Linked DNA regions of Arabidopsis thaliana. The protein of the gene in region 1 interacts with the protein of each later gene in a pairwise test. Each region holds a gene or a part of one and is shown on either strand. Other genes may lie near its edges.

Region 1 (7,625 bases):
AGACTGTTTGTCTTTCCACTAAACTTTTCAGGATGTAATGCTCTGTGGTGGCTCAGATGCAGTTATTATTCCAATAGGTGCTAACTCGTTCTCTTATATTTTACATTGTCCCATCTATTCTTGAAATTTAAGCGACGTGAAATCGTATCGTATGTGTACCAATGCAGGGTTGGGAGGTTTTGTTGCATGCCGGGCTCTTTCACAAAGGAATAATGATCCCACAAAAGCTTCACGTCCTTGGGATACCGTAAGTTTAAACAATTTCGTGTCTTGTCTTCTATTCCTTTTGTTACTTGCATGTTTTAGTACCCTTCTATGGTTTTGTTTTAATCTTGGTGGATGCTAGAAACACTGTATCGAGTTTTTGCCAACAGGAATTTCCCTTACATTGTAATGTTGTAGGAAAGAAAGTGTGAGGAAACGTGCGTATTATGTTTGGAAATTCTTCTTGTTTTGTTAACCTGGTCTTGATTGCATGACAGAATCGAGATGGTTTCGTGATGGGAGAGGGAGCTGGAGTTCTACTTTTGGAAGAACTCGAGCATGCTAAGGTATATAACTTATTCGTTCTTTCTGTCATTTCTTGTTTCCCATTTTTAAATCACAAAAGAAACTTATATCCAAAGCTTTTTTTATTGCTTGCTATGGAACGAGTTGTGAGAACATAAGTATTCTGCTTTTCTTTCAGAAAAGAGGTGCAACTATCTACGCAGAGTTCCTCGGTGGGAGTTTCACATGTGATGCCTATCACATGACCGAGCCTCACCCTGATGGTAGTTTCATTTTCCCCTAATTTATATTAGTCTGCTAGTCAACTACAAATTTGAAATCTCTTTTTTCTATAATTTTTTTGTCATTATCCCATTTTTCTTAAATCCGCAGGGGCTGGTGTTATTCTCTGTATTGAGAGAGCGTTAGCTAGTGCTGGGATTTCCAAGGAACAAATAAATTACATAAATGCACATGCAACCTCAACGCATGCTGGAGATATTAAGGAATACCAAGCCCTTGCTCACTGTTTTGGCCAAAATCCTGAGGTAGCTTCAGTTCTTTGTTACAAAATTCCGAAGTGCCTTTTTATGTGCTTTTCTTGATCTTTCTCGATGTGGCAGCTTAAGGTAAATTCCACAAAATCTATGATTGGACACTTGCTGGGAGCTGCTGGGGCCGTGGAGGCTGTTGCAACTGTGCAGGTAACTCATTTGACTCGGTGTATCTACAAGGAAGGAAGTGTTGTTGAAACCAAGTTTTAGCATAGAGCGAAATTATGTGCAATCTTCGCATTTTTAATGTTAATATTCTGTTGCTATCTACAGGCGATACGGACCGGATGGGTTCATCCAAATATCAACCTCGAGAATCCAGACAGTGGAGTGGTATGTTAGTTTCATATGAGTTCAATACCTATACAAAGACCTTTTAATGTTCGTAAAAAAAAACTCTTGGGAGTTTTAATAATCGTACTGTGAAATGAAATTGGAGCAGGATACAAAGCTGCTGGTGGGTCCTAAGAAGGAGAGACTGGACATTAAAGCAGCCTTGTCAAATTCATTCGGGTTTGGTGGTCATAACTCCAGCATCATTTTTGCTCCTTACAAGTGAAAGCGAAAGCAGTTGCTTGTACTCCAAACCTGATTGTATAACTTGCTGTAAGGTAAAAAGTTACATCCATTGTACATTTGTGTATCATCAGATTCTTAGAGGAATTGAAGGACAGTTAACTCTTTTGACCTTTCTATATTTATTACTTTGGCTGAGATGGATCATTGGCAATAATGAATTGGAAGTTTGTGCAAGTTCCCTTTGAAGTATTGTCGGTCCAGAAATGCTCTAAAATGATTTGGGATGGACTAAGAATTTGTTATGAAGCTGAGTGTTTAAATTATGTGCAGTGTTTTACAAGAAGTTTCCCATGTTATGCTAGTGTTACGTCGAGGGAATCAACAGAGTTTGTTCAACTACCAAGAGCTAAGCTAAGTTTCTTAGGATCAAGATCTGATGAGCCAAAGACTTGGACAGGAGCTAAAACGTGCTAGAGATATCAGAGTTTGGATTCGCCATTAAAATTCTGTTTCTTGTGATACCTTCTTATTGGAAATCTTTGTAGTCTTTACATTTCTATTGTTTAACATGAAATCTCAAAAAATGCCAAATCAATTCTCAATTTTAAATTTAGTAGCTCTTGACAGTTTTCCCTTTGTTAATTACATATATAGAGAGTAACTAAATCATCTTTTGAAAGGTAAAAACTAAAAAAATATATTCCAAGGGCCCAATGTTTTACCACTTTCATATGTAAGCTTATTTTCTGTTAAATATGTGAAAGAAAGAAGAGGAATGAATCAGCTGTGAAAACCAAGAGCAAGTATAAAAACATGGCTAAAAGGGTATCAATCAGCCTTGTATAAGAGAGCCATAAGTAGATAAAGTTTCTACAGTAAAAACAGGAATATAGAGTACTATTCCTTAATTAGCTTATGTTCTTCTATTCTTCTTGTGACCTCTATCTTGCATTTTTGTGACCACCCCACTTGCCTTCTTCTTTTTGGTTGCATACTCTAAATAATATCCAGACTTTGATGTCTTTATGCGCTCTGGGTTCTTCTTGTGACCCCTCTTCCTTGTAATTGTATGTACCTGCAGCTTCTTCTGATTTTGTTTCTTATGGATATGTTTGTGATGTATAAAATTTTGTGAAGATGTTTATAAAACAGTTAAAAACCAAATTAACCAATCATCCTTATTTTCTCACGAGCCACTCTATGAACCTTACGTTATCTCGATGTACCTGTAATGAGTTAGCAATTACTACAATCCAAGTCAATAAAATAACAAGTTGGACGTTACGTTATAAAAGAAAATCAAACTTATTTGTGTGTTCCTAACAAACGCATGGGATAATAACAAGAGAATAAAAGACAGAGTGATAGGATCAACGGCTATTGTGCGTAGGAGAACACAGCTGCTATATAAGCCGCGTAACAGGTGATTACTCTGACTACGACACCAACAAGAAAAATTCTCTCAAATGTGGGCAGTTAAGTTAGACACGTGTAAGGTCGCGATTCATGGAGGAGACGTGCTCTTCCCGCTTTTTGTAATTATTTATTACTGTTGTCATAAATAAAACACTAAAAAAAAATTAATAAAAGGGAAAATACAAAACGTGATTTATGGATCAAATTTGCATTGGTGGTGGAGTTTTGGTTATGTAAGACCCACACCGTGTTCCCTCTATCTAACGCCGTTAATCCTCTTTTTTCCCCCAAATCATACCGTTAATTCTCTTTGAGTGCTAAAATATCACGCCGGTCTATGAGATTAAAATAGTAGACTAATTAATAGTGCTAAAAATACATAAATTAATGCCAAGAGATTCATCTTAAAAAAAAGGATATATGAACCAACTAAATGGTATAACTGAAAGACTATCATAATCAAATTTCATCTGAACATTGATTTGTTTGAACTAATTAATTTTAGGATTTTACGTTTTCATAATTTTTTATTTTATTTGAACATCTTGTAAGGGTAAAATGGTAAAAACAGGAGTAGTAAGAGGGTGAAATGGTTATTTCAAGTGTGAAGCGTGGGGACGTGGGTGACGGTGGTGATCTGAAACAGTGGTCTGCCGTTAAAACATTAAATTAAAACACGTGTTTTAAATGTCTCTATGTTAATTAATACTATAAGAGTATATTTTACTAATTTCCGTATCTGCAACCAGCGAAAAAAAAGTAATAAAGAGGTCCTCCATTTCTTCCTCGTGACAAAACGCACTTGGCAGAGAAAGATAAACAAGAACCCTAAGTTTTTTTATAAGATTCGAGAAAATTCAACAACTCAGGAAGGAAGATCCTTTTGCTCCAATTTCTCAATCGAAACGATTTCAATTTCGGTTTCAACGATGTCGAGTTTTTCTGCCGAGTGTTGGGACTTCTCTGGTCGTAAACCGAGCTTTTCACAAACATGTACTCGATTGAGTCGTTACCTGAAGGAGAAGGGTAGTTTTGGAGATCTGAGCTTAGGGATGACATGCAAGCCCGACGTTAATGGTAATCAACCTTTCTCTTTTAGATCTGTTCATTTCGTTTCTGCGAATTTTGAGTTTCCTGTTGCGAATTACGAATTATGAATCGATTACATGTTGTCTGGAAATTGAATCGTTGTAGAGAATCGATGATTAATGGATTTTGAATCAATTTCTATATATGTATGTATGTGTATGAATTTGTGGAGATGGTTCTGTGTTTGGTTTAAGCATAATCCTCTAAAGCCATAGGCCTGGTTTAGTCATTAAGTAGATTTTGTTTTGCAGTTGTTTGAGAGATTGGTGAATGATAATAATCTTTACTTTTGGATCAATTTTCGCAGGAGGTTCACGTCAGCCTACAATGATGAATCTGTTCCCTTGTGAAGCTTCAGGAATGGATTCTTCTGCTGGTCAAGAAGACATTAAACCGAAGACTATGTTTCCGAGACAATCAAGCTTTTCTTCTTCCTCTTCCTCTGGGACCAAAGAAGATGTACAGATGATCAAAGAGACTACTAAGTATGTGTTTATATGTATATAGTGAAAAGAATCGTCTCATATAGTAAGCTATGTTTCATCAGTTTAACTAATTTTTGTGTGATTTTGAACAGATCTGTGAAGCCAGAGTCTCAATCTGCTCCGTTGACTATATTCTACGGTGGTCGAGTTATGGTGTTTGATGATTTTTCTGCTGAGAAAGCTAAAGAAGTCATTGATTTGGCTAACAAAGGAAGTGCCAAAAGCTTCACATGTTTCACAGCTGAAGTAAACAATAACCATAGTGCTTATTCTCAAAAAGAGATTGCTTCTAGCCCAAATCCTGTTTGTAGTCCTGCAAAAACCGCAGCACAAGAGCCAATTCAGCCTAACCCGGCCTCTTTAGCCTGCGGTAATTGATCTCAGCCTCTTTTGGTTCAACCATCTCTGAGCTTGGCTTAGTCCTATTTCTCTAACTTTCTCTCTTTTTGATTTGTAGAACTCCCGATTGCAAGAAGAGCTTCACTTCATCGGTTCCTTGAGAAGAGGAAGGATAGGTAATGCATTTTAATGAAAACATAATATCTTGTTATTCCATAAGTTCTTGTTAAGCGAATTTCTCAATATCCTACTCGTAAACCTTTAACAGGATCACATCAAAGGCACCATACCAAATAGACGGTTCAGCTGAAGCGTCTTCCAAGCCTACTAACCCAGCTTGGCTCAGTTCACGGTAAACTTCGAGCCTGTCCGACCCAGAAGGCACAACTTGAGAGACCTTCTTGTAAGATTCTTCTGATGCTCCATCGTTACAAATATCAAGCTGCTCCTCTGTTCATTTTTTCTATAGATTAATTTCACCCCTAGTAGTTTTGTTTGTTTAACTCCCCCGAAAACTCATTATATTTGTATGAAATCAATATCAATAGTGTTCAATGTTTGCTTCTGGGGTTTAAGTTTTAGCCAGTGTGTATAACCCTTTCCTCTGCCGATCTCAACATTAGCTTGCAACTTTTGTAAGAAACATCACTTGTGTTTTTGTGTTGATGGCCATTAATATAATCCAAGTTTATTTAATCCGATTGTTTGTTCGTCACTTATTGAGAGCTGAAGCTTACAGTTAAGGAACAGAAATACTTAAAGCATTCTCGAAAATAAAGAAATGTCTAAAAAATGATGATTTTCTATCAAGTATTGTCGTGTGAAAGATTTTCTTTAACAAGTCTGCTATTGTTCAAAATACGTTTTAACCTATCTATCCATTATAGTATTAGCATTTTCGTTTTGTTGTTAAATACATGGCACAAACTATGTAGACTATTTTTGGTTAAAATACCAAGCCAGTTACAATTTTGTTTTTCCCAAAATACTAGTTATAACTTTGTAAAATATCCGAAGTCCATAATAAAAAGAGCTTCATAAATATCCAATAAGTGGAGTAGATCAGACCAGGCTTGGTAGGCCACGGGAATTCTGACCCACGATAACTTTTTTTCGTTCGGTCTTGAACAATGATTTGTTCGGTCTTGAACAATGATCATCCAACTAACAAAACGTAAATTTGGTCCAAAGACTGGTCCGAAATTCGTTATGATTAATAAGCCCGAAGAACCTAAGATCCAATTTTATCCGATTTGGAAAAAAATAACTGAATTTTTCAGCATTAACAAATCGCCAAGACTACGTAATTTGGATCGGACAGAATCGGCCCCGGACTTCATCTAATCAAAGTTGTTCAAAATGGTAGGGACTAAAGTTTTTACCAAAATATCATTGTTTTTTTAGTTGGGGAAAAGGATCTTTTATTAATTTCTGACAACGGGCCAGGATACAACAAGTTGCATATTTAAGGGCCCACGTGCATACATTGCACTAAGAATCATAATGATTTAAAACTCATAATTGTGTTTCTTCAAGTCTTAAATTTATTAAAACGTTATTTTGGTTTCTTCATTAAAATGATAGTACGCGTTCTCTATTATTTTTTGAAAGATAATTTAAGTTGTTTGTAATTAAGAAACTGAACTCGAGTAATAGCAAATTAGCAACACATTACATTTTTGAACGTAATTTTAATTTTATACCTCTATAAATATTTTGATTGGTAACGTTTTCTTTAAAATAAAACAGAAGTAAACCCACAGGACTTTGTATTTTTGATCAAAAAGTGTAAACATATTCAAACAAGTCTTCTAGCCACAAAGTTTTAGACTTGTGGAAAAAACAAAAAAAGACATGTGTATTGCACAATCTTACATTTTCAATTGATTGATTCAATGTTTTGGATACAGGGAATTGAGAAATTGGCATATATACATACATACTTGTTCTACAAAGCTATTTCACGAAATGATTATTGATTTATGTGATTCCGAGGAAAAGCCATAAACATTACTCGGTATTAAAAGTTAACAAAAAGCAAACTTCTATACAATGTGCTTTTTAACCTAACCAAAAATTTCACTTTTTTTTTTTTTGTTATTTTCTAACCTTTTTTCTTCTATTAAGGTAAAATGGAATGATGATCACTTTTTTTTTTATATATAAATAAAATATACTTCTCTTCGTATTATTGTGAATTGTGATCATCCTAAAATACGAATACTCCGGCAGATAATCTCTGTCCGGCGGCGTAAGGAGAGCTCAAAACGTCGGCGTTTCTTGAAACTTGCGTTTTACATTGCTCTTGTCGTTCGTCATTCATTATTTGCACTGATCTGCATTCGGCACTACAAAATCCCATCTCTCCTCTGCACACAACCCAAAAAAAAAAGGATCAGTTTCTAGAAAAAATACCAATAAAATATTGAATTAGTCTCCAATTTAACAAAGATCCAAGAAGCAATAATGCGATGAAACTTACTTGTACATGTATATGTCTTTGCCTTGAAGTTTCTTCTTACACAAGCAACACGAACTCAGAAACTCTGTTGGACCCCTAACACTCTGTCTTTCAATAACCGGTGGTTCATCGACGGTAACCATCGGTTTATGAACTCTCCGATAATCATTTTCAGACAATTCAAACCCGTCGTCGTTGTAATACACTTTGGTCGGCCCGTTTGGGCTCGTAACATAAGTGTATTCCTCATCCGACAGATCAATCTCCGGGCAC
Region 2 (7,715 bases), on another chromosome or scaffold:
AATAAGAGAAAAAAAATAAAAAGTAAATTATGCCCACCCCAAACTTTGCTATATATACAAGAAATATCACCTTCTCTTTAAAACCAATTAAAGAGACGCATTTAAAAGCAAATGACCAACAAGCGACTTCACCATCCATCTCTTACAACCCTCCAAGAACACTGGCTGTTTTCCTTCACTTTCTAGACAAAACAAAAACCATCTTCTAGAGAAAATAAACCAACATGGGAGAGACAGAAACCATGGCAACAAACTAACTAAACCATAGTATATATTATCTATACTAATATTATCGGCCCATGGGTAACGGAGACAAAGTCATGAGCCACTGGAGCTTCCACATCCCACGTCTCCATCATCATGAGCATGATCATGAAAAGGTACCAAAAGGGTGTTTGGCAGTGAAGGTAGGACAAGGAGAAGAGCAAGAGAGATTTGTGATTCCCGTTATGTACTTTAATCATCCTTTGTTTGGACAACTCTTGAAGGAAGCTGAAGAAGAGTTTGGTTTTGCTCAAAAAGGGACAATCACGATCCCTTGTCACGTTGAGGAGTTTAGGTATGTTCAAGGATTGATCGATCGAGAAAACACTAGATTTCTCGGTACTAATCTCCTTGATCATCACCATCATCATCACAACCATCTCATCCGGTGTTTTAGGGTTTGATGATATTGTTTTGGCTCTTTTTAAACTAGATATTATCTCATGCTGCTGATTATAAATAAATCTCGGTCTTCATTTCATCTTATCTTAAGGTGTGGCTTGTTGTTGTTGTTGTTGTTGTTGTTGTTGTTGTTGTTGTTGTTGTTGTTCATATATATATATATATATATATATATGTCTCATGATGATTAATTGTACGCTTATGCCCGATCATAAAAATAGAAAATCATCATCTTGTAATAATATTAAAATAATATGTATGTTGAACAATTAATATTTAGTTATTTACTATACTCAATCTCTTCTATGAGTTGACTTGTCAATTGAAATTTTATAATTTTATTAATGATTTGGAGAAGAAAGTAATTTTACATTTTTCCATTTTTATTTTAAAAATCATTTTTATTTTAAAAATCACTTTAGTTCAGGTTTTTTGTTGCTAAAATGTAAATATTCATAAGAATAAAAATGTTTAGGTTTACAGTTATATATTTTAGACTTATAGACTTGGTCTTATGGCAAAAAAAAAGGATTAAAACATGGAAGGAAAAACAATCAGTTTGTCGACTCAACGTATGCTATGAAGCAAACAATGTTAGAGAAAAAGATAAAGTGATACAAGATTTTGAAGTTCCTCCAAAGTGAGTTACAAAAGATGAAATTTGGCAATGAAAATTTATAAAAACTTCAAAAGTGGAAGCCTTTCACTGGAGGCCAATGGACTGATTCTATCGGCTTTGCCAAACTATTCTACAACAGGTTAATCATTTGGAGAAGAAAGTAATTTAGTGGTTATTTCACATATATACCACCATTCATCAATATAACTTCTATGTTACGTTTCCGTTCATAAAGATATGTGAAAACGAAGTTCCTGTAAATGAATGATTAAGTTAAGAAATTTATTCGCTAAATCTATAAATTCATCTGATCAACATTGTTGTCTACGCAATTGTTGTTCATTAAATCTTTACGGTCACAAAAATAACAACCTCATGATATGTTAGAAAAACTTTAATCATACACTTGCAAAAAAAAGTGAAGCAAAATCTACCATAAATATGCAATTGTGCAGTGGTCTTCTCCTCTTAATTTTGTTTGAAGTACGTATATTCGAAACTTTATTTCGATTATAATTTTTCGTACGATTCTTTATAAGTAAAGCAAAATAATGATGGATTGAAGAATCTTGAAAATGGAAAGAAATGGACGAGAGGCTTTTGACCATTTGTATGGCCAGAATAACAACACTCACTACCAAATACAATAACGTGATTTTGTTTAATAGATTAGATGCGGTAGGAATATATTATTCTTCGTGAACTAAAACCATGTTTTATAACGACAAAAAAAAACCCATGTTTTATAAGTTTATGGGCCAAAATTGGGCTTTTGTATTATAAACATGTTTACGGAAGTATTCAGCTAAGTATATATAAAAAAAAACAATTACACTAATTTATTTAAATTTTATTATTACCTACTTACAATTAGTAAAATTTAAAATTAACAAAAAAAAAACTTTTACTTACTTTTAGTTATTGTTTTAAGAAAAAACATCATTAATTACCCTACTTTTTTTTTTAATACTAGGAGGTTCTAAGCCAAAACATCTTAATTATTATATTGTTTATATGTCTAATAATATCCATAAATGTATTAAAAAAACTTAAAACATAAACTAAAGGGTAATAGATCATAATATTATTGAATGGAGTAAGAAAATGTATAAATTATAATTCAAAAAGAGAACTATAATCTGCTTTTCTACCCAAATGAAGTAAAATAAGACATCAATTTGCATTTCAATGGTCAGTTTTAAAGGTAAAATTAAAGACGTTAAACACGTGTAATGTAAAAGAGATCACTCATGAGTCATGACCAACCATATTCTTAGTTTATATAAGTAATTCACACCCCTTAAAAAGAAATATAGTCTATAATCAATCATACTTAGCATGAAAACGATGATCAAGTTTCTGCTGTTAATACTGGTGATCTCTCCTATGTCGATATGCGCCGAGAAGGACATGATGATAAATGAATGCCACAATGCAGACGTCCCAGCCATATGCATGCAATGTCTTGAATCCGACCCAAACTCCATTCACGCCGACCATATAGGCATAGCTGGCATCGTCATAAACTGTCTTGAATCCCACCTCCATATCATCACCAAGCAAGTTTTCACTTACAAATTATAACCAATATACAGAAATATCCTCTAATATATCAATTTTTTCATTTGTGTAGTAACATAACGAATTTATCGTCAAAGAAAGATAAAGGTGAAGTGAAAACAGCTCTGGAGATTTGCAAAAAAGACTTGTCGACGAATGCATCTACAATACTGTCGGAAGCCAAAACAAGTTTGAAAACCGGTGATTATGATAAAACCAACAAATCGATAAAGCTTGCGCTTGGCTTTCCTCTGAGATGTATGTTCAATCTCAAACGTGTCAAGTTCACGTCTCCCCAACTATTTAGTCAAATCAATATCTATGCTCAACTCTCTGACGCTGCTATGAGGATCATTGATCGCTTCTAATAAGTAATAACTCCTTATTGTTTTCTATATAACTCAACTTCGATCAATGCTTACCCCAATTTGAATAAATCATTTCCTTTATGAAATTTATAAAGTCACATATATCCATTTGTTGTAGCTCTCATGTTTTTTTTTTCTTTTCAAATTTGTCAAAATAAGTTTTCGTTTGAACCATCATTCAATATAAATCTAAATGATATATTGTCTTTTTTTTTTTTTTTTTTTTGGCAAAGAATGATATATTGTCTATTTCATCAAAGTTGGACCACTATACGATAAATTGTTGTTCTTATAACGTTAAAGTAGGAAAACAGTTCAGTTTTCACGTGACTAACTTACTACTATTGGAATATTTATCATAAACTTTAATTCACGAAAATCATTAATGAAAATTTGATATTACTACTATAATATCGTCTTCTCTATTAATTTAGAATCTTATTCATCCTTTTCCACTTGTCTTCTCTAACCCTCTAAATTCTCTTTGGTCGGGATCACTGGAAAGAAATGTATAATCTCACTTTCTCTCCATCATTGTCCTCTTCTTTGCTCTCTTTTACACAACAAACTCCTGCAGCCATAGTGTCCTCTTCTCCTCCGGATTTAGTACTTCAACAAAAACTCCGGTTTGTCGTGGAAACCTCACCGGACCGATGGGCTTATGTCATTTTTTGGCAAAAGATGTTTGATGATCAATCGGACCGGTCTTACTTGGTTTGGGTTGATGGTCATTTCTGTGGAAACAAGAACAACAATTCCCAAGAAAATGTTCATTTTTCTTTGCCTCTTATGTTATCTAATCAAAATATCCAAAATTTATTTAAATCAACTTCTTAAAAAAGTTCTATTAAGAAAATAATATAATTTTCCTTACCCTTGATTTTTTGTTTTTGTTTCTTTCTTAAGTATACAACAAACAGCATCGAGTGTGAGCTGATGATGGACGGTGGAGATGATCTGGAGTTGTTCTATGCCGCATCGTTTTACGGTGAAGATAGATCGCCGAGAAAGGAAGTATCCGATGAATCTTTGGTTTGGTTAACCGGTCCCGACGAGCTCCGGTTTAGCAACTACGAGAGGGCTAAAGAAGCCGGTTTTCACGGGGTACACACATTGGTCTCCATACCCATCAACAATGGCATTATCGAACTTGGTTCGTCTGAATCAATTATACAAAACCGGAACTTTATAAACCGAGTCAAGTCCATATTCGGGTCGGGTAAAACAACAAAACACACTAACCAAACCGGTTCTTACCCTAAACCGGCGGTATCAGATCATTCGAAAAGCGGAAATCAGCAATTCGGGTCGGAAAGAAAACGGAGGAGGAAACTTGAGACGACAAGGGTAGCTGCGGCGACGAAAGAGAAACATCATCCGGCGGTTTTGTCCCACGTGGAAGCGGAGAAGCAACGGAGAGAGAAGCTAAACCACCGGTTTTACGCTCTACGTGCCATCGTACCAAAAGTGTCACGAATGGACAAAGCGTCACTTTTATCCGACGCAGTTTCGTACATAGAAAGTCTTAAATCCAAAATCGATGATCTCGAAACTGAGATCAAGAAAATGAAGATGACGGAGACAGATAAATTAGACAACAGCAGCAGCAATACGTCTCCGTCTTCCGTTGAGTACCAAGTTAACCAGAAACCTTCAAAATCAAACAGAGGCTCTGACTTGGAAGTGCAAGTGAAGATCGTCGGAGAAGAAGCCATAATTAGGGTTCAGACAGAGAATGTGAACCATCCTACGTCGGCATTGATGAGTGCGTTAATGGAAATGGATTGTCGTGTACAACACGCGAACGCGTCGCGCTTGAGTCAGGTTATGGTTCAAGATGTTGTTGTTTTGGTTCCAGAAGGATTAAGATCGGAAGATAGGCTTAGGACCACACTTGTCCGAACCCTAAGCCTATAACAATTTCTTTGTTTTGTGACGTCAACATAGGATGTGATAATAATTTTTGTTTTTTTTTGCGACCTTTTGTTTTATTTGATAAGTACTAGAAAAATCAAATTCCTTCTAGCGATTAATGTTGTTTTATCAAAAGTTTGATCTCGTTGATACGTAGTTTATGTGTTACTTTTTTACTTTATTTCTCGTACGTACGTACTAGCTCGCTAAAAGCGCAAAGTGTTTGGTATATTGTCTTACTAAAACAATATAGAGACTGTATATTTTAAAAGAAACAACTCATTAATTGATCATTTGGAAATATTAGTTTGAAAACCATAGAGAAGACGGAGGAATTATAGACACACACACGCTTGTCCTATAATATTTAGGACCACTCTTCAGTGATAGCTTGCTAACAAATCAAGTCAATTACGTAATGAACTACCAATGCTTTATATTAATTATTCTTGGACGTACTGTTATATTAAGACACTGATTGGTTAATTTGGGGAAAAAATATTAGTACAATGCACAGAAAAATAAAGGGTACAATAATGTTGAGAAAAAAAAGTGGTACAATAATGCAAAGAGAAGAAAAGGGTACAATAATGCAATTGAATTGTATCTTTCTTATTTTGTTTGCTAATTACTAATTGCAAAAAATGTTTTTGTGCTTGAAAAAGTAATCATTCTGTATCTAACATTCACATATAAAACAGAACTAAACAATTTTGCATTTACTTAATGAGACAAAAATGTTTTGTTTTATTTGATGATCATGGTTTTATGTTTTTCTAAAAGAAATTAAAATATGTTATGCAACAAACTATCATGTGTCTATGTATACATAACCTATGATACAATATAGTTTCGACCTTAAGATTAAGTTTCTTTGACAGAAAGTCAGAAACAGTTATCTTTCACATGATCCCTTCTTCAATCCTGCTGCAACGATGTAACGGTTATGCAAAAATTTACTGATAGGTAAATCACATGAAAAATGGCCACATGCAAAAATTATGCCCGGTTCCAACTTCTAGGTTAATATGGTACTCAACAACAAAAAAAAATATTAACAATAAATACGTGTTTGTCTTCTTCTTCTTTATAGATGTTTCACTTTATAAATAGACTGTAAGTTTTTAAAACGCAATAAGAAAAACAACTGAAATCATTTTAGAAATCTTATGCGTGCAGAATAAATATTGGTGTTATGTGCATTTGAAGCTTTAGGCTTTAGCACTTTCTAAAACCTCGTTTTGAGCAAAGTCATTCAAAAGGAACTCTTAATATTTTTACAAATTGAAATAGCAATTGTAATTTAATCAGTAAAACCTCTATAAATTATCATGTTTATTAATTTATAGAGACAATATTTGGGCTAAAATATCAATTTGAGAACGGAAGAAAATTATTAATTTAATGAGATATTAATTTATTGAATATTAATTTATAGATTTTTGACTGTATATATTCTAAGCTTTGTTTTAAGAAAATTTAATCCGTTTAAAAAGATTTATCTTCATTAACCCCAAAAGAAATGATTTGTTTTAGCTTGGCCAATAGTCATGTATGGCCCAATCTGGTATAAAATCTCATAAAAAGTTTTATCTTCATTAACCCAAAGAAATGATTTGTATTAAGATGGGCCAATAGTCAAGTGTGGCCCAATTAGGAGTAAAATCTCATAAACGAAATGGGCCCATAATGGCCCAATATTTGTACACCACAATCGGAAACCCCTTTTGGGTCATTTCAAGTTTGACGAGAAACGTAAATCGCTATTTCTTCTATTCCTCCCTAAAAATCTACCAACGAGATTCTTCTCGAAAATTTCCTGCGCCTCTCCGTGTCTGTGAAATCGATTCAGGTAAATCACTCTTCTCGAATCGATGCTTGTTTTGTGAAATACCGATTCTATCAGATCTATTTGATAAATTTGTTGTTGTTGTTAGTCGTCTGTGTAGTTTATTCACCTTTTGTTTCGATTTTTGGGTCCTCACGAGATCTATGAATCGTTATCTGAAACAAAACTCGAAACTAGCAGATGATATGTTATTTAGCGCGATTAGGAAGAATAAAACGAGATTTGTTGGTAGCAGTGAGTTTCTTAGATCGGTTTTTTTATCGATTGTGTGAAAAAATTCACCATTCAGATGCTTTTATTGATTTGTGTCTTCTATAATTGAATTGAATTGTTTGATTCAGCAGCTTAATTATCTAATGGTTTTATGTGATTGTATTGGCTTGATTAGGGTTGAATATGCCTTGAAACTTCATTTCAATCCCACTATACACTATAGCTATAATCTGATATAAGTTCGTTTTCTCCTTTTGTGTGGCTTGATTATGTTTGATATATCTATGTACTTCAGGTTAAGGATGTCGAGAGCTACATACATTATCGGTGCCCTTGCGGGATCTGCGGTAGTAGCTTACGTGTGTGACAAAGTTATTTCTGATGATAAGCTTTTTGGAGGCAAGTTTTAAACCTTATAAAGCTACTTATGATGTATCCAGAAAGCTAAATTTGGTTTGGTTTGTTTTGAACTCTCAGGTACTACACCAGGAACTATTACTAACAAGGAATGGGGTGCTGCGACTGA

The links. The genes of interacting proteins can lie anywhere in the genome.
Region 2: the proteins of TIFY10B (region 1) and AT4G00870 interact in a two-hybrid assay, tested with the Arabidopsis thaliana proteins (one study listed by BioGRID).

Annotation. Positions count from the first base shown.
Region 1 is NC_003070.9:28,146,541-28,154,165, reverse strand, and holds TIFY10B (TIFY domain/Divergent CCT motif family protein), read left to right. Parts: upstream 1-3,719; 5' UTR 3,720-3,907; coding exon 3,908-4,055; intron 4,056-4,374; coding exon 4,375-4,552; intron 4,553-4,644; coding exon 4,645-4,922; intron 4,923-5,009; coding exon 5,010-5,067; coding exon of another isoform or gene 5,068-5,071; exon of another isoform or gene 5,072-5,159; coding exon 5,160-5,247; 3' UTR 5,248-5,591; downstream 5,592-7,625. Other genes in the region: FAB1 (fatty acid biosynthesis 1), read left to right, coding at 32-77, 168-247, 483-551, 689-773, 883-1,037, 1,113-1,193, 1,317-1,376, 1,486-1,602; AT1G74940 (cyclin-dependent kinase, putative (DUF581)), read right to left, coding at 7,101-7,260, 7,374-7,625. UniProt on the Arabidopsis thaliana protein: Repressor of jasmonate responses. Jasmonoyl-isoleucine (JA-Ile) specifically promotes COI1-TIFY10B/JAZ2 interaction. Activated by MYC2, MYC3 and MYC4 transcription factors.
Region 2 is NC_003075.7:359,645-367,359, reverse strand, and holds AT4G00870 (basic helix-loop-helix (bHLH) DNA-binding superfamily protein), read left to right. Parts: upstream 1-3,650; 5' UTR 3,651-3,720; coding exon 3,721-3,981; intron 3,982-4,119; coding exon 4,120-5,130; 3' UTR 5,131-5,427; downstream 5,428-7,715. Other genes in the region: AT4G00883 (uncharacterized protein), read right to left, coding at 129-182, 285-644; AT4G00880 (SAUR-like auxin-responsive protein family), read left to right, coding at 300-668; AT4G00872 (Plant invertase/pectin methylesterase inhibitor superfamily protein), read left to right, coding at 2,624-2,844, 2,919-3,213; ATOZI1 (monopolar spindle protein (DUF1138)), read left to right, coding at 7,492-7,588, 7,667-7,715.